Caenorhabditis elegans: one gene and its partners. The protein of the gene in region 3 interacts with the protein of the main gene of each other region in a pairwise test. Each region holds a gene or a part of one and is shown on either strand. Other genes may lie near its edges.

What was found.
Region 1: the proteins of smz-2 (region 3) and pcyt-2.2 interact in a two-hybrid assay, tested with the Caenorhabditis elegans proteins (one large-scale study listed by BioGRID).
Region 2: the proteins of smz-2 (region 3) and lips-11 interact in a two-hybrid assay, tested with the Caenorhabditis elegans proteins (one large-scale study listed by BioGRID).
Region 4: the proteins of smz-2 (region 3) and nhr-41 interact in a two-hybrid assay, tested with the Caenorhabditis elegans proteins (one large-scale study listed by BioGRID).

The regions. Positions count from the first base shown.
Region 1 is NC_003284.9:7,882,363-7,888,008, forward strand, and holds pcyt-2.2 (ethanolamine-phosphate cytidylyltransferase), read left to right. Parts: upstream 1-1,962; 5' UTR 1,963-2,006; coding exon 2,007-2,080; intron 2,081-2,133; coding exon 2,134-2,227; intron 2,228-2,319; coding exon 2,320-2,400; intron 2,401-2,446; coding exon 2,447-2,522; intron 2,523-2,595; coding exon 2,596-2,696; intron 2,697-3,034; coding exon 3,035-3,130; intron 3,131-3,173; coding exon 3,174-3,275; intron 3,276-4,087; coding exon 4,088-4,198; intron 4,199-4,247; coding exon 4,248-4,325; intron 4,326-4,374; coding exon 4,375-4,446; intron 4,447-4,759; coding exon 4,760-4,890; intron 4,891-4,947; coding exon 4,948-5,017; 3' UTR 5,018-5,117; downstream 5,118-5,646.
Region 2 is NC_003280.10:1,108,317-1,112,903, reverse strand, and holds lips-11 (LIPaSe related), read left to right. Parts: upstream 1-1,902; 5' UTR 1,903-1,911; coding exon 1,912-2,099; intron 2,100-2,719; coding exon 2,720-3,075; intron 3,076-3,327; coding exon 3,328-3,478; intron 3,479-3,838; coding exon 3,839-3,950; intron 3,951-4,003; coding exon 4,004-4,063; downstream 4,064-4,587. Other genes in the region: lips-12 (LIPaSe related), read left to right, coding at 94-202, 441-558, 612-674.
Region 3 is NC_003279.8:6,872,060-6,875,491, reverse strand, and holds smz-2 (PDZ domain-containing protein), read left to right. Parts: upstream 1-1,734; 5' UTR 1,735-1,807; coding exon 1,808-1,936; intron 1,937-1,984; coding exon 1,985-2,248; intron 2,249-2,292; coding exon 2,293-2,724; 3' UTR 2,725-2,885; downstream 2,886-3,432. Other genes in the region: T21G5.1 (Tyrosine-protein kinase), read right to left, coding at 329-530, 591-847, 896-1,114; T21G5.12 (Lipoprotein), read right to left, coding at 3,374-3,432.
Region 4 is NC_003282.8:1,384,559-1,389,266, forward strand, and holds the start of nhr-41 (Nuclear Hormone Receptor family), read left to right. Parts: upstream 1-1,656; 5' UTR 1,657-1,730; coding exon 1,731-1,733; intron 1,734-3,284; coding exon 3,285-3,402; intron 3,403-3,455; coding exon 3,456-3,592; intron 3,593-3,657; exon of another isoform or gene 3,658-3,729; intron 3,730-4,049; coding exon 4,050-4,145; intron 4,146-4,708.

The DNA of each region.
Region 1 (5,646 bases), on a different chromosome or scaffold from region 3:
TCAAAATCACAAGCAACGTTGCGTTTAAAGCTGATTCAATGCAGAAGTATTGTAAAATCTAGACAATCCAATTTTTTATCACATGCTGGGCCAATCAATCATCGCTGTATGTTTTAAATGTACAGAGGCGGTCGTTGGGCTCGTCATCAGACCTTCGTGAGTCATGAGCTCCGCCTTTACTATTCTATCCACCACCTACATATATTACAGTTTCATTTGCACACGGCGGCTTGTCATTTTCCTGTCTATTGCTATTTCGTTGTTAGAAACTTTTTCAAATCGAGGATTTTGAGACTAGAATGCTTGAATTGTACTAGCATACTGGCCCCCAAATCTTCGCTTAGAAATACAGTTCACAATTATTTTAATGGTGAGTAAAGTAAGTAAAGGGATAGTTCCCGATCGAATATCAGTTGGGGTATTTACAAAAAGACAAAATTGTAATGCCCTGAATGATGTTCAATCGGTGATGAATCTCATTTTTTATTGTGTTTTGGAAAATAAATTGTTAAGAATTTATTGCAAGAGAAAAATAACATGAAACATTCTTTTCAGTTTACGTGCAGAAAAAATTGTGTTTTGCAGGAAAAGGCAGAAAAATACAGAATACGGAATAATGAAAATGTTTATTATGTTGCAAGTCTACAAAATTAGGGAACAGTACACTCAGGATAGTATGCGCAACCGTCGCGAATGTTCTGTCATGATATTAACATAAGATTATTGGATAACGCGAGATCTGTGATCTTAATTTCAAAGCAGATCTTTGGTAAGATGATTGATAATACACAATTTGTTCTTTATGCAAAATGTTGATGTAGAGTTCAAAGAGCGTGTAGAGTTCAAAGAGCTTCATCATTGGACCCAATTGGAACGATCCCAAAAAACATGCGCAGGGAACGGTTCAACTTACCACTGTGATGTTAGTTTCGAGTAGAAAATATAATGAAAACACATAGACTTCGTAATTTGATAATATTTTTGATTACTTCTGGTGTATGATACATGCTTAGCTTCAATAGTTTGAGTTTATTGGTTTCAGCTTGTAGACTTGTGACATTCTTCAAAATTTATCAAAGGAAGAAAGTAAACATAAAATTGTAATGTTTGTCTGATTTATATTAAAAAAAGCTACGCATTTTCAGTCATTCAAAATACACGCCTATGAATTTCAAACGTGTTTTCCTAAAACTGTGATAAAATATTTGTTATATATTTATTATTGAGATCTATATGCGTGTGTTTCTGAAAATGTAACATTTTGAAATAGGCGTTAAGTCAATAGATATATTTTAAGCCAACCGAAAAATTACCTCAAAATTAGATTTGACGTTCAGTCAGTCTGGATGCGACTGAAACTTTCCACTTAGTTTTTTTGCGCTGAAAAGATATCATGCTTATTGACTAATTCATTAGCAATATTTAAAACAATTGTTGTGATACACTTTATCATTTATGAAGTGATTTTTGTAACATGCCATTATAAAACCAATTAATACTACCAAAACCCAAACATGTGGGACCTAGGTTACTCGTTTGCGTAAGGACTCAAAAATTATTCAGACCTTCAAATTTGCTTGCAATTGAAAAAAAGTTGGAAAATCAAAAAAATTTAGATAATATTTAAATGTTTACAGTGATTTTTTGGCACTTTAATAATGTTTTCAGTCATTTTTTGGCACTTTGATAATGTTTTCAGTCATTTAGAACAAAAAAAATCCCACAGAGACAAACGCTACGTTACTTCTATAAAACTCAAATATTTATTTCAAGTTGCGAGTGCCCTTTTGATTAGCAAGTGTTTTTTTGTGACAGAATAACACACCCGCAATTACTTTGTGTAACGAATAAACGAGAGAGCAGATTCTGCTCTTTGTCTCGAGAGCGCATTACACCCAGAGAGAAAGCAAAGAGAAAAAGATCCCATCAACAGTGAGAAGGTGCCGCGATCAGTCGAACTGATTTCCTATTTTCTCTTGTTTATTCACCTATTATTCGTGTTGACCATGCCCAAGGCTATTGTACAAGGACTGACTCCAGATGGAGAAAAAAAGAAAGCTCGAGTGTATACAGATGGATGGTAAAGCACAATATTGTTTTTAAGCGTTAAGCGTTAAAATTGAAAACTTTCAGCTTTGACTTTGTACATTTTGCAAATGCCAGATTATTATGGCCAGCAAAACAATACGGAAAAAAGCTGATTGTTGGTATTCATTCAGATGACGAGGTATATGTGTTTTTTGTTATAACAATCAATTATCATTTCATTTCTCTACATTTCAAATATATCAAAACTTGTGTATGTATATTGTTTTTTAGCTTGACAATAATGGAATTTTACCAATTTTCACCGATGAGGAAAGATACAGACTTATTTCGGCAATTCGATGGGTCGATGAAGTATTTATTTATTTAAAAATCAAATTTTCTACATATTATTCTTTAGGCATTTGAAGACGCGCCATTTCAACCCGAGATGTCAACGCTAAACCAGCTAGATTGTGATATTATTGCAATACCAGGCAAGTTGGTTAGATCATAAACTCAGAGACCCCAGATGTTGAGCCATCTGGTGTCAACTACCCACTTTTCCAGATATTAGCCACCTGACAACTGTTGAAACTGCAAGGTACGAGGAGATTCGGGGCAGCGAACGGGCAAAACAATATGTAATTTCGGAGCATGTAACGGACCAGGTACGTGCTTGATAAACAAGTTAAGCACATTAAACGCAATTTATTGAGTAGTCTAAAATGTTGGCAATTCTCCTGGAAGGAAAAATGTAACAAGATATTATATTTTTCGTAGATGTCTCTAGGATGAATAGGTGTACTACACCTTCAATATACGATTTCAGTACTTGCGAACATATATGTTTTTATTAACAGGATTATAAATTATTTTAGTTATTGAGAAATTGTTTGAAACATCTTCTACAGTAATTTTCAATAGTTGCTTGACAGTGTTCTTACGTCTAAGTAATTTCAACCTTTCATTTTAATAAAACCTTATCTGTATCATTTGTATAATGAAGGAAATCGCTGGTCGTCTCATGCTTGTCACAAAAAAGCATCACATGGAAACCGATTCAATCTTGGATTTCAAAAGCGCTATTCTTCCGTTTGCCCTGGTAAGTTATACTTCAGTTGCTTATGACAAAACACATGTTGCAGGATCCGTTGAGCAACGAGCCTGTCATATCGGTGTCCCTTTTCAAACAAAACTATACGTTTGCACCTGTCGTCATCGGAAGGAAACCGAAAGTAACAGACAAGGTGAGCTGGAGGGTTTTTAGAATAAAAAATCGCGTAAAATTATGAATAGTTGTCAAAAATTTCGAATTAAAAAAATAGGTTTCATATCAAAAAAAAAACTAGATACGGGTCCAAACATGCAATTATGTGAAAAATGAATTTGTCTCAAAACGTGAATACCCATGTCGTAAAAATTAAAATTAGTCCAGCAAAAATTGCTCCTTTTATAAAAATTGTCTGATACTTTTTCAATTTCTTTATACTTATTTTAAAACAAACTTGCCGGAAATGATGTCCACTTTCAAACAATAAATGAAATGTTTATGAAATTGATTAAACATAACATGAAATCTTCCATTTACAAATTTTTCAAATTGCCTGTGAAATCCACATGAATCACTATCGTCATGCATCTGGTTTTCAAAAAAATATCCCTTATAAATTCCGGAACATTAAAGTATTTTTTTAATACACGGTTTCAAGCTGACTCCCCAAGCTTCACGTTATCTAAAAATATTCATAGCTATGAGAGGCTACTGACGCAAGTCGTTCAAAGTTAATTTATTATTTGCATCCTCATAATTTATAACTTGCACTACTTTCAAGTTGTTCGTAATTCTCAAGAGTACTTGAGCTTTCCTGAAAATATGACAAAGTGGTATTTTCCATGATATGTCATTACTCATTTCTGAAATCACGTTTTTTCTTTTAAATTGAACAGGTGAAAATTGAAATCAATACCGTATGACTAGTGTTTCGAACAATCATTCCTCGAACAATCATTCCTGGAAAACGACACATTGTCTTCGCACAAAATACAATTAGAATTTCAGGTTGTTTATGTTAGCGGAGCGTTCGATTTATTTCATGCGGGGCACCTGTCTTTTTTGGAAGCAGCGAAAGATCTTGGAGACTATCTGATTGTTGGAATTGTGGGAGATGATGTAAGATTGTAGATGATCTTTGAAGTTGCAAATAAAAATTTATTTTCAGGACGTAAATGAAGAAAAAGGAACAATTTTCCCGGTTATGAACCTTCTCGAAAGAACACTGAACATATCATCACTGAAAGTAAGGAGCGAATTTTGAAATAGTGAACGTTTTAAGATAACTGTTTCAGATTGTTGATGAAGTATTTGTTGGTGTTCCGGCAGTGACAAATTCCAAGTTTGTGAATTTGATTCGAGCATCGGTTTGGTTTTGAATTTGTTAAAAAATATAACGCTGAGCAGCTCAAATTAAACAAAATGTTCTCAAATTAAAATAAAAGGACACAGATTCACGGAAAGAATCAAATTTAAAGTAGTGACTGGTGCCAAATAAGCAAATAACGTAGTAAACTTTACCAACCTTTTTTGACAATTGTTTATTTTGTTCAAATAAGTGGTAATACAGTTTATGCCAGTTTGTTTAGAAAAAATCCTTCAAACGTCATCATGTTTTGGAAATAAAAGAATTCAATTTCGGACTCCAGGTTGTCATTTTATTTCACTGTATTTTTTCAGAAAATCGCAGTGTACTCTGAAACCCACCCACGGCGGTTTGCAGACTGCACGTATCATAGAATTATAGAAGAAGTAACACCAGATTATGATGCAACATGTGAAGAAATACTGGAGCGAATCACGTCCAGAAAGTAATTTCATTCTTCAATTTTGCATTTTTTATACCCTTTTGAACATTTTTCATTCAGGATTGCATCATCGGATGACGACGAAATCGCAATGTTCAACGCAGTTCCATTGAATAACAACCAACATTGACTTTCAAATATTTGGAATGAATGTGTAATTAGATGCAAGAGTTCAAGAAACTTATTTCTAGTCGAGATTTTTTTCATCAAATAAAAATTTGCATCTTTTGATCTTTTGATTAATTTTTGTTTTGAACCGTTCTGCAATAATGATGTGTGTTTTTGTTGTAACGTTTTGGATGACGAAAAATAGAGAGAAAAACGGAAGCAATTGAAACAAGTCTTGAATTTCAATTGTCAGAGGGCACTTTGTCATTTGAAACAAAATATCAAGACTGCCCATGTGTTTGGTGGGTGAGGGCAACGATAGCACCGTTGTCGGTACGAACCTCATTTGAATTCCAGGCATTCTAGCACGTTGCAGTTTTTTCGAAAAAGGAGAAGAAACGTTTTTTAAAGAGTTTCTTGATGTTTCAAGTTTGCAAAATTCTAAATTGAAATATCACATATTTTCTAAAACTTGTTATACAAGATTTCAAACTGGCTTAAATTTTAGTGAAAGCATACGAGGAAAGAACAACAAAAACTCCATTGGAAAATAGCCCAGAAGGAGGCGGAGCCTATTATTGATTTTCCTTACACCACTTTTTATTTCATTCTCAACATCGTGTATTTAAACTAAAATTACCGTATTTATCC
Region 2 (4,587 bases), on a different chromosome or scaffold from region 3:
TTTTTAATAAAAAAAATTGATGGAAAAATCACATTTTCAAATTTCTAACAAAAACAATGGCGGGAAATTCAAATTCAAATTTCTCACTTTCAGGACAAAACGGAGGTATTCTGTGCGACCCGTCAGGTGATAAACGTGCAACATGTCTAAACATGGACATCGGGCTCAACTGTGGATCCAAGTTTATAAAAGACATAAATGCGTGGGTTTATATTCCAAAAAGCACAAAAAAATAATAAATGGGCGGAGCTTTTTATAGATTTTTTTAAAGCATGCAAAAAATTAATTTAGTTTAGTTCATAACATTTTTTTGTAAAATTTTTTTTGAATAAAGTTAAAATTTTTTAGCCAAAAAAACTTATTCGTCAATAAATACTAAATACTTAAAAGGCCCTGTTACCAAAGTAAAAAAAATTTAAACTTGATCACCAACTTTTCAGCATTGGAAAGCATTGGAAAGAAGCTGTTCACTCCATTCACTCCATTGTCCCGCTTCTCCCCCAAAAAACCAACTGCGGCTCAGATTCCTGCGGTATTCCATACTCGAAAGTTTACGAGGTTATTTTTTAATGCTTAACGAATTTTATGATTATAATTTTTAAATTTTTCAGTATGATTTCAATGGTGTTGAACAGAATGTCAACCGCGTTGTGGAGATTCTCAAGAAATTATGACCGCCTGATTTTCATATTTTGACCTAATAAATATTAAGCATAAAATGTTTGAACTTGGCATATTATAATACAAAAACAAAAATTGAAAGAGCCAAGAAATGGGCGGAGCCTATTATTGATTATCCTTGTATTTTGCAAAAATTGTTGACAGATGATTTTTTTTCCACACTAACTCTATTGGGAGTTTTTCAACAATTTGATATCCAAAAAAAAGAGGAAAATCCGCTAACAATGTGAAAAACTAGCATCATAATTTGAATTGCCGCGCAGTTTCCTGGCGTTCCAGAATGATCTATTTGTATTTGAAAGAAGACCTTTGAAATAGGCATCTCAAAATTTGCCGAGCTTGGCAAATTCGGCAAATTTCTGTTTCCAATAATTGCCGAGCACGGCAAACTCGGCATAATCGGCAAATTTGCCTGGCTTCGCAAACTCGGAAAAATCTAAGAATTTTGATATTTTTTGGAGCACAAAAATTACTGTTACACTAAGAACACGTTTGCTTGGTTGGAAATGTCCGTGTGGTTCAATTTCATGCCAGTTTACTAGATTTTTGGAGCCGAATCAAGAGTTTTAGTAATTGTTTTTCTGTTCAACTTTTGGTGTACGCGGCAAATCCCGAAATTTGCCGAACTCGGCAAACAGCAAAATATGAAACGTTTATCACAGAACTTGTTAGGGGATTTTTCAAATATATATATATTTTTTTAATTCTTGGAAAAAGCTTGTCTACCTCGAAATACCCTAAAATCATTCAAAAATTTTAAATATTACCATTGAGAGCAAATTTACGGGCCTCTGAAATAGTGGAAAAATGAAAAATTAACTGAAAGTTAATACGAAAATTTTCAAGCTTGTAAAAGATTTTTGGTTGTTCCGGAAATCGGATAATCGGAAAACAGCCACCCTTGTTTCTGACTAATGAGCTAAGAAATTGATTGGTACTTCCATAGTTGATGAATGTTATCAGTAAAATGGGTTTGGCAATGCTTTTGTTATTCCACCGTGATATAAACTGAAAAGCACAACTGATAAGATGAGGCACCTGAGTGTCTAGACATGGCAACGGAAGTGGGCGGGATTGGAATTTTTGAGACGTGGCTTAAGTTGTATAAAACTGACCGGCTAAATTTTAATTTCAGTGAGTTTTTGAGTTTTCCAATTCTCACCCAAATTCCACATTTTATGCATCGCCTAAGTTTTTTTTTTAATTTTAATTTTTTTTTCCAGATCCCGAATGAAAATTCTCTTCAACTCAATTGCCCTCGTGGTCCTGGCCACCATTGTCCAAGCGGAGTTTTCGGACAGTTTCCGTAACTACTTTGCTGGTCAACCGGAATTGCTGAAAGTTTTGTCTAGAAACGACCTTTTTGGAGCTATTGGAAGTTTTGGAGGTGGAAGGCATGTTGGAGGTACTCAAACAAGGTAAGTTCGGTTTTCCTGGGGCAACCAGATTTTTCAAAATTTGCTAACAGCTTCTCAAAAATTTTCCGCAACATTTTCTAATCTTTCTAGTGATTATCAAACTTCCTAGTATTTTTCAATTTTTTTCGATTTTCCTAGACAATTTTCAAAAGTTTCTGATATTTTCTAGTATTTCTGAAGTCTTCCATCAGTTCACGGAATTTTTTAAAATTTTCAGAACTTTATAAACTTACTAGAAGTTCCTTAAATCATTAAAAAAGTTTGTAAACCTTCCAGAAGATTTTTCAAAAATTTTTCAGAACTTTCTAGACAATTCTCCAATTTACTAGAAAATTTGTGAATTTTCTTCAATTGTTTTTAGAATTATTTCGAACGTTTAGAAATCCATCATAAATTTTTAAAAGAAATTTTTGATTTTTTTTTAATTTTCCAAGTTTTAAAAATTTTTGGAATTTTTCAAAATTTCCCAAACCCTCTAGATAGTTCTTTGAAAAAATTATTGTCCTGAAATTTTTTTCAAAAATAAAAACATGAAAGATATTTCCAGAACCATTTATTTTAAAAATTTAATGAAGAAGAATTTTTTAAAGAATCCAAATAAAAATTTTTACATTTTTCAGAAGAGTCCCTCTTATCATCGTACACGGAGGAGGCCTCAGTGCACAGCAATATATAAAATACAAAGACGAATTCATAAAAAGAGGATATAGTGCTGAAACCGTCTACGCAACGTCGTGGGGCATTCCAGCACACACTTATGAACCAAATCTTGAGATGACGTGTGAATATGTGAAACAAATCAGAAAACTTATTATCGCCGTTTCAAAGTTCACGAATAATAGGGTTAATATTGTGGCATATGGAACAGGATCCCCGATTGCAAGAAAAGCGGTGATTGGAGGAAACTGCGTGGATACTAATGAAGATCTGGGAGTTCCACTGACGGCGTCAGTTAGAGCATTTGTTTCTGTTAGAGGTATATGATTTTGAAAGCTGAAAAAATAATCGTAAAATAAAAATTGAAACTGATTTTTCCCAAAAATTTGGCGAATAGTCAAAACTTAATTTTTTTTTAACTTTTTAAATTTTATTTTCCAAAGAACATTTCCCAACTTCCGAATGCAAAATTTAGGTTTTTTTTTTTTTCCAAAAAAATTTTTACGTGTTTTCTTTTTTTCTAAACAAAAACTTGGTGGAAAAATTTAAGTTTTCAACAACATTTTGCCAGATCATTCAAGTTCAAATTCAAATTCAAAATTCATATTTTCTGGACAAAACGGAGGTATTCTGTGCGACCCGTCAGGTGATAAACGTGCAACATGTCTAAACATGGACATCGGGCTCAACTGTGGATCCAAGTTTATAAGAGACATTAATGCGTGAGTTTATGTCCCCAAAAAACACCCTTATTTGATTTTTTTTTTAGATTCCTATACTTTTAAAAATTAAAGAAAAAATCAATAATATTTGGAATTTAAATAATTTTGAAAAAACTCGCCGATTATCGATTTCTTAAAAATTTCCGTATTCCTCATTATTCTTACCAATTTGTTTCATAAAATTTATCTTGAAAAATATTTTTAACAGCATTAAAAAATTTGAATTTTTACCTAAAATTTTTTTTTTTCGAAAATTCTTTAGATACTGTTTTTTTGTTGTTCAAAATGTATTTTTACACTACCTAGACCAAATTTAATTTTTTTTTCTGAAGTTAAACATTTTCACAACCTACGTTTCAGCATAGACAAGCGAGTAGCCCTTTTCCACATTGACTCCATTGTCCCGCTTCTCCTCCAAAAAACCAGCTGTGGCTCAGATCCCTACACCATTCCATACTCGAAAGTTTACGAGGTTATTTTTTAATGCTTAACGAATTTTATGATTATAATTTTTAAATTTTTCAGTATGATTTCAATGGTGTTGAACAGAATGTCAACCGCGTTGTGGAGATTCTCAAGAAATGATGACCGCCTGATTTTCATATTTTTACCTAATAAATATTCAGCATAAAATGTTTGAACTTGGCATATTACAAAAGCAAAAATTGAATGAAGATATGGGTGGAGCCTATTATTGATTTTTTTTCGGATTGTGTTAAAATTGTATTCTTTTGGAATTTTGTGCAAATTTTTGTTTTGGTTAGGTCTGGCAAGCTATTTTTTTCGCAAATTTTTGAAAAATTGCACTTTTGGCTCAACTGGTAACACGGACGACTATGGAGAAATAGGTCGGAGGTTCGACCCACGAGTGTGGTAAAAAATGTTGTTTTATTTTTTATGTTTGTAGTTGATATTTTAATTTCAAAATCCTAAATCTGGAAAAAAAAATTTTTTTTAATTTTCAACCAATTTTTCCCATAAACCCCTATTTTTTATTGCATGGAACTAGATTATCCATAGCAAACAAATGTTTTTATTATCAGCAGTTGTTCCAATACTATCACTTTTCACTTTCTTTTTTGTTGGTGGGAAAACTAGTTGTTTGACGT
Region 3 (3,432 bases):
AGAACTTGTACAATTTATGTGGATCATTACCCAGACGCGAAACTTTGAGGTTTTTGGGTACTTTGAGGGTAGAACTACAGTTCCCGGTCTCGACACGACAGTGTTTAAAAAATATTTGAACTTCCAACTTCTCGTAGCTGCGGAGTTTTCATAGTTGCAAATAATGATAAAAACTATTTAAAAAATCATTGAAAATATCGCAGCAATGAGAGTTTGAATTTGCAGTACTCTTGAAATTTCACATCTGTATAATATTGTAAAATGATATATCAAAAGAAGCAAACAATTGTTGAAACATTATTTTTTAGAGTATCACTCTAGACTAAACCTGTTTCAATTTCTTGACAGCACAATCCAGCACATATTCACTTGTTGGATCAACCATTCTTGCAAGAAAAACCTCTCCGAAGGCTCCAGATCCGATTTTTCGATACAAGATCACGTCCTCGTGTGGAATAATCCATGTTGCTCGGAGGACTGGTTTACGAAGATACACATTCCACTGAACGCATACTGGTTGCGCACGAGCACTGAAATATCTTACATAATTTAATTAATCATTAAATTAAAAAAAAAAAGAATAAACGTACAGATGGACATCAATCAAATCTAAAACAGTGTTTTCCTTGAGTGTTGGCATAAAATAAAACTGTTTTGCACCTTCTTTGTCTTGACTTATTGGAACATGAACAAATCCAGCTTCTCTTTTTACAGAAATTATCAGAAATTGTCCACCCGCATTTTCACGTGGTTCCGCTCTTCTCAGGAGATAATCACCTACGTAACGAAGTGACAACTCAGCATCGACACGTGGAATTATTCCATGGTAGAATTGACAGCCTTTAATCTAAACAAGAAATAAATGTTGATGTCTAGAAAAAAAATCCAAAAAAACCTCTGGAGTAATTTGAACGACTGGAACATCAACCATAGGCTCTTTCGGCTTCTCTTCTGGCGGTGGAGGTGTTCCAGGTGGATTTGCAGATTCTTTTGATCCTTCTCTTGATCCTCCAGTTGTTATTCCATTTCCAGGTAATACTTCTCTTACAACAACATCTTTTGATTGTTCTGTGTTTGGTGCTTTCATTGAAATTGCCTTCGTTGACATCTCCATTTTTCGATTTTTGATTCTGTTTTCTTTTGTTTGGCAGTTGAATCAATATTGTAAACCTTTTGAAAAGTTGAAAATAAATTGATTTTTGACTCAATTATCAGGTATTTTTGAACAAATTTATTTGTTTCTTTTCTTTTAAATTGGGGTTACGTTAATATTTAAATTTGTTTCTTTTCTATTTCCGAGTAAAACGTTTATTTTAAGTTTAATAAATGGAAAACCTATCATAATTACAATTTCAAACCAAAATGCTGTTTCCTACAAGTTTTATATCTTTGTTATGATTTAGTTATTTTATTTAAATATTTTATTCCCCAAAAACAATCAATATACCAAGACTGAAAAATTTCAAAAATCTAAAGAGATTTTGAGTATTTACTCTATTAGGCCATGTTTATAAGTTAGGTAACTGAAATTTTAAGCAAAAGACGCAATCCAATTTCGCTTTTTGGAAGGTCAAATTTTGTTTGACAAGTTTCGCAAATAAACTCGTAAAAATTTTCCAATTTAAAATATTTTCTCGAACTTAAACTCTATATTTATACGTAACATGTCCCCAAGACCTTATTTTTTATGTCCAAGTATTTCAGTATAAAACGTCCAATTCTCGCCACTCTCAATCAAATTTCGCAAGAAATCGAATCAATCGCCTTTTGAATCGGCAAAGCAGCAAAGAAGAAAAGGAACAGAAGAATGGGTTCCGAGAAGATGATCGAGATTTGTATCGACATGGAGGAAGGAGAACCACTTGGTGCAACTCCAAATGACAAGCTCGTTATCACTAAGATTCAGGCTGGAACCATTTCTGAAGGAAAATTGAGAGTGAGTTTTTGAAATGTTCAAATCTTTTTTATACAGAATGATTTACAGATTGGTGACCAAGTTAAAAAAGTGAACGGACAAAATTGCAAGGATTGTAACGACTTTTTCCGTGCGCTTCGCTTTGCTGCTCCATGTGCAAAAATCACGGTGAACCGTGACGAAAAAAAGGCTGAAGAGTTAGAAGCTCGTGTTCATATTCCTGAGGATCGTGCAAAGATCATTCAACGCCGTGAGGGATACGTTTATGAGTTGGCAACCCTTGTCTGGGTTCAAAATGGACCAAAACTTGGTTTGGGAATCAAGCATTTCCAGGTAAGAAATTAAAAGATTGGAGGAAGTTCATATGTCTATTTTAGAACCGTGTGCTTGTTTCACGTGTTGATCCTGGATCACTAGCCGAGAAGTGTCTTGTTCTTGGAGATCATTTGTGTGATGTTGATGGAATTCCAGTCAGTGACAAGGATGTTGCCAGAGATCTTCTCGTCAAGAATATCCAAGAGAAAGGAAAAGTCACTTTTGTCGTCGAGCGCCCTGATTCGATCGATGCCAAGCAATGGGCGAAACAGGCGTTGGCTACCAATCTCATGCAACCACCATCAGTCCAAATGAACGAAGATGTGAAAGGCATTGCTTCGCAATATCGTCAAGCTCTTCCAGGACTGAAGCCTCCAGCGAAGAGTGCAATGTCTACCGGTCCAAATGCTCGCCGTGTTTCTATCATCGAGCAAACTCAAACTCACGAGATCGGACATGATCATGAAGGAAAAGCTCTTCGCAAGGTCAAGTGATGATAAGAATTCAGCAAGATGTCATGAATAGCACTGTCTAGATTGAATAAAAATGTTTTGATATTTGTTTTGTAAGGTTTATGAATCAAAGTTCTCCTGAAGTGTTATGTGCCCATTGGAGTCATCTTAACTTTTTAGAGACAAAACTTCTTATAAACTTTTTATACTTTGTATGTTGTTTCCTTGGACTATTACTGGCTTCCTTTTAATTGAAACTGGGTAAATTTACCAGCTACCACAATTTTAGAATTGTTACAATTTAGAATTGATTTTCGAAACGAAGGCAATGATAGGGGTATTGCTCCTTTGTAGAACATATTTGGTGTATGTTCTAAGGAGAGATACTTTTTTTTACTTTTTCAAAAATCACGGTAGCCGTTTTGTTGCAAATTTTGAGTTCTTTCAGATTTCAAAAAATCTACCAATTGTGTTCTAACAACTAAAACTTTTAAACTTTATCTAAAAAAAATAGAGGGCCCGGGCCTCGGGGATGGAGGTAATTTATAAATTTCTGAAGATGGAAGAACCTGCAAAACACGGATATAACAGTGACTAAGAAAACGATGATATGTAATTGGAAGTTTAAATATGACGGTAAAATGAATTCAACATTGAATCAATGAAAGAAAACAATTTATTTTTGAGAAATCTAATTTTTATTCTCTCCCAAATTATTCAAGTAGTCATCAAAATCCTGCGACATGGATG
Region 4 (4,708 bases), on a different chromosome or scaffold from region 3:
GAATTCTTCATCAAAATTCTAGTCAAATTGGCCCCCATATTGAGCCATTTCCTATAAGTTTGAAAAATAGGTCGCGGTGGCTTCGCTGGGTAGAGGTTGGGCTGACGCGCGGAAGACAGGGGTTCAATCCCCGCTGTAGGTGAATATTTTTGTGAGACTTTTTCCATCTAACAAGAAAAGAATCTCGAGTTGGAAACTAGGTTGAACCCTGTATGTGAAATTTTTGGCCCAAAAAACCGGAAATTTTCAATTTTCGCCGCGATGGCTCAGTGGCTAACAGGTTTGGCTGTGAATCTCGACACCAGGGTTCGACCCCAGCCGGTCCCAAATTTTTTTTCCGGTACATTTTTGATCATATGAAATGGGTAAATATTGTCGAAAAAAATTTCCAAAAAAAAATTAACAACAAATCCTCACAGCTAATACTTAAGCAACAAAGCCGCTCACCTATAAATTATCTTAATGAAAATGAAAAAAGAAAATCCGCCCCGGCCGGCACAGAAGAAAAAAATTATTTAACAGATTGAGTTCACGGCTCCGCTAAACACCGATTATCCCCCGGTAGCGGGGGATATGATTTTTGGGGATTTTTCAAGGATTTTCTATACTTTCCATATTTTGATGAAAAAAATTTTACTCCATCAGTGTAACTTTTTTGACAAAATTTGTGAGAGTTACATTTTTGTAAATTTTTTCCAAAATAATGAAAAAAATGTGTGTAATGTCAAAATTACTTTAAAACAGGGGAAACTATGTTAAATTAAGCTGTGCAAAAATGTTCTGGTGCACGTTGGGGTCGAGCCCTTGACCTTCTGCGCCATAGCCTAACATGTACCCAGTTCAGCACACATTTTCACGAAATTTCTAAAAAATTTCAAAATTATCTTAATTAGGCCAATATGGGAGTCACGTTGAAATTTAATGGAGAATTCGAATTTGACGTTTAATTTACTAAAATTTAATTTTTTCAACGAAAATTACTCGACACATGGAAAGTGTTGAAAACTAGTTTCTAGCTCGAAATTTTGTATTTTTGTCACTCAAAAAATTGCAACAAAAACTTATGACCAAGCTGGGACTCGAACCCCTGACCTTCTGCACCATAACCCAGCCTCTACCCGATTGAGCCACTTCGCCCCATTTTCCGAAATTTTTGACAATTTAAAAACTACCGAAATAGGTCAATATGGGGGTCATATTGACGGAAATTTTTTGTAAAATTCGAATTTTTAGGTTTAAAACGTTTAAACCCAAATGCTAAAGACTTAAATGTTCGTTTTCCTCAAAAGTTGTGACCTTTTTTTTTGCAACTTTGTTATACCAAAACCGCAACACATAGTACAGTTCCCCCCGCCCCCAAAATTCGTTCCGCGTTGCTATTAGCATACAATGCCCCCCACGGTCACTCACCTCTGTGTGCACTCTCCCGGTTTCGCGCACTATTTCCCACGCCGCGCGCCACACCGCTTGAAACATATTTCCAGTTGGTCAGCAGCGGCTGACTGACCGGCGGCGCGGTGATAAGGGGGAGAGTCTCCAGGAATAACGGTCTGAAACACCTCTCACTGTACTACTATATTATTCTCTCTTGTTTCTGTATACTCATGTACACTTTGCCAAAGTGCTCTGATCACCCACATCGTCCCCTTATTCTAGAAAATTCCACGTCATCAACTGGGCTAATATTTGCTGAGAGTCAAGCTTCAGCATCCCATCAAACTTGGATTAATATGGTGAGTTTTCTGAGGAAACGTTCATTTTTGTACATTTTTTAGGTTTTACTGAAGAACTAGCACTCAAATCGAAAATATTTCGGTACTTGTGTATTACATGTCCTCATTTTTAAATTAAATTAAACGGTTACTCGTGAATTTTTAGCTGCGAATCTCCAAAACCAAGCTCACGGCGAGCTCTCAAAGATCCTGAAAATAGCACTTTAACGAAGTAGTGAAGGGCCAATTTTCCAAATTTACTTTGGTAGCTCATATCTCAGCGGATAAATTTTTTACCGAAAAGTCATCAACTAATATGTTGTTGATATTTTTGTAAAGAACAAGTTTGTAGTTGAAAGTTTTTGTCAAAAAAATTGTTGTTTCAGATAGAAGCGCATGAAGTGCGGCAACTGCTGCTATTGCGATTTTAATGCTTTTATCTAAAACAAAAAACTTTTGGTAAAAACTTTTAACTACAAACTTGTTCTTTACAAAAAGTTCAACAATTTATCAGTTGATGACTTTTCTTTGAAAAATTTATCCGCAGAGATATGAGCTACCAAAGTGAATAAGGAAAATTGCTTGTTTTGATCGTAAAGTGCTTCGTTACAGTGCTATTTTAGGATATTTGAGAGCTCGCCGTGAGCTTGGTTCTGGAGATTCGCAGCTATCGAATGGCACAGGTTTCATATGCAAGTCCGATGGGCACCTTCTGACGGTTCCCTAGTTAGGAAATTTTATTTCCTAAGCCTAAAAATCCAAAAGTGTGGTTCACGTTTTTATTTTGCACAACTTAAAAAATTACTATAAAAATGAGGGCATGTAATACACAAGTACCAATATTTCAATTAAAATGTATTCAACGTTAAATTCTACACCAATTTACCGCACAATACAAAACAATTTCTGAAAAAAACTTTTTTTCGGGACAATTGTTTAAAAAATTTTTAAAGGCTAATTTTTCAATTTTTCAATTATTTTATTAAAACATTCGAATCTTCCGTCTAAAATCTCTAAAATCCGTTAATTTACCCCCATATTGCCCTATTTCCGATAAGTTAAATTTGGTCTCGGTGGCTCAGTCGGGTATCTGTTGGTCTAGACTATGACGCAGAAGACCGGGGTTCTAGTCCGGTAGGAGGGATTTTCTTTTTATTTTGATTTCTTGTACAAAATAACATGTAAAAGTCTAAATTATGGGAGTTAAAAAAAGATTTACGAAAAAAAAATTCTAAAATGAAATTCCTGTCACTCTAAAACTGTTTCAACCATCAAAACAGTTATAGTAAAAAATAAAAACCACAACTGGGCTCGAACCCTCGACCTTCTGACTCAGCCTAACCTCTGACCAGCTGAGCCACTGGGACCCAATTTTTTGACTTTTCTAAAAATTTCAAAATTTTTGTAAATTGGTCAATATGGGTGTCAACTTAACGGAAATTTCATGGAGAATTCGAATTTGACAATGAATATCTTTTAAAAAAATTCTCTGAATTTAAAGTTTGGAAAAATTGTCTTAAACAGGCTAATTAACTGGAAAGTTTATGAAAAATTATAATTTTCTTATTCCAGACGCTGGGTGACCCTTGCTCCGTCGAGCAACCCCCACCTCCACCCATCGATTTCTCACGGAGCCTAATTGCTCCGACCGCTATCAAACAAGAATCTCACCTAATTCCCTCAACGCCAGGTAATATTCTAATTAATTTTTTTCGAATAAAAAATAAATATAAATATGTTCAGGCACCCCAACAGCTTTCCAACCCCCACAGCATGCGAACACACCAATCCCTGGTATTCAGCCGAATTTGTTCAATCCGGCAATAATGGCGGCTCAACTAAACGTATTCAGCAACCCACAGTTGATGGCAATGATGCAGGTAAACTATTTTCTGCAAAAATGAGAATTCGGCAAAACTGGCAGTGCAAAAATAAAAAAATAAACTTCCCATGCCGGGAATCGAACCCGGGCCGCGTGGGTGAAAACCACGAATCCTAACCACTAGACCACATGGGAGGACGAAACGAGGAGGTCTCGAGTGCCTAGAGAAGAGTGTGCGGGAGGGGCCTGCTGACTGTAGCGGAAAAAGTTATATGGCGGGGGCAAAAAGAATGTCCAATTTTTTTCGAAAAAAAAACGAAATATCTCTCAAATTCTCGACCCTAATGAAAAATTACTATGTGTCTATGTGTGTGGAAGGTCATTCGATAACCTTTTTTTTCCCTCAAAAAAATATCATGAAAGGTTTGATCTCGTTTTCAAAAATATTTTTTAACTTTTGCCCCAAAATTTGTTTTTTTTTTGTTAAATTCTCCCTTAAATTTTTGAATTTCCAGGCTACCAGAAACCCATTGTTAGGACACCCGTCAGTTGTCGGTCCACCAATGATGCCAAATATCATTCAACAGCTAAATGCCCTTCGAAATGTTCAGGTAAAAAAAATGTTGCTCAAAGAACTTTTTTTCAAAAAAATTTTCCAATTTTTCCGATTTTCTAGGATTCCTTTTTATTTTAACACACTTTAACTATCCAAACAAACCTTGAGAAAAACATTTTCCCTTACTTGGGCTCGAACCCCGGTCTTGTGCGCTACAGCCCAACCTCTACCCAGTTGCGCCACTTCGATCCATTTTCAAAAATTTTAAAATAATTAGAATCCGGTCATTATGGGGGTCAAATTAACGGAAATTGCACGCAGAATCCGAATTTCGACATGAAAAACAATGAAAATCAATGCCTCAACCTAAAAAAACACAAAATTTTAACTAGAATTAAAACAATTTTAGGTTAGGACTTGGAGTTTTTCAAATCATTTACTAAATTTTCTGCGTATACCTAATATTCCAATACCCTTTTTTCCAAAAGTTTGGACTACAAGGACAGTGTCGCGAGCGCGCGCGCTCTCTCTAAAAACAGGTTTTGATCACCGGTCGAATTGTAGCTCCGCCCACTTTCCGGGGTCCTCAGGTGACCTCTACGCTGTTTGGCAACTTTC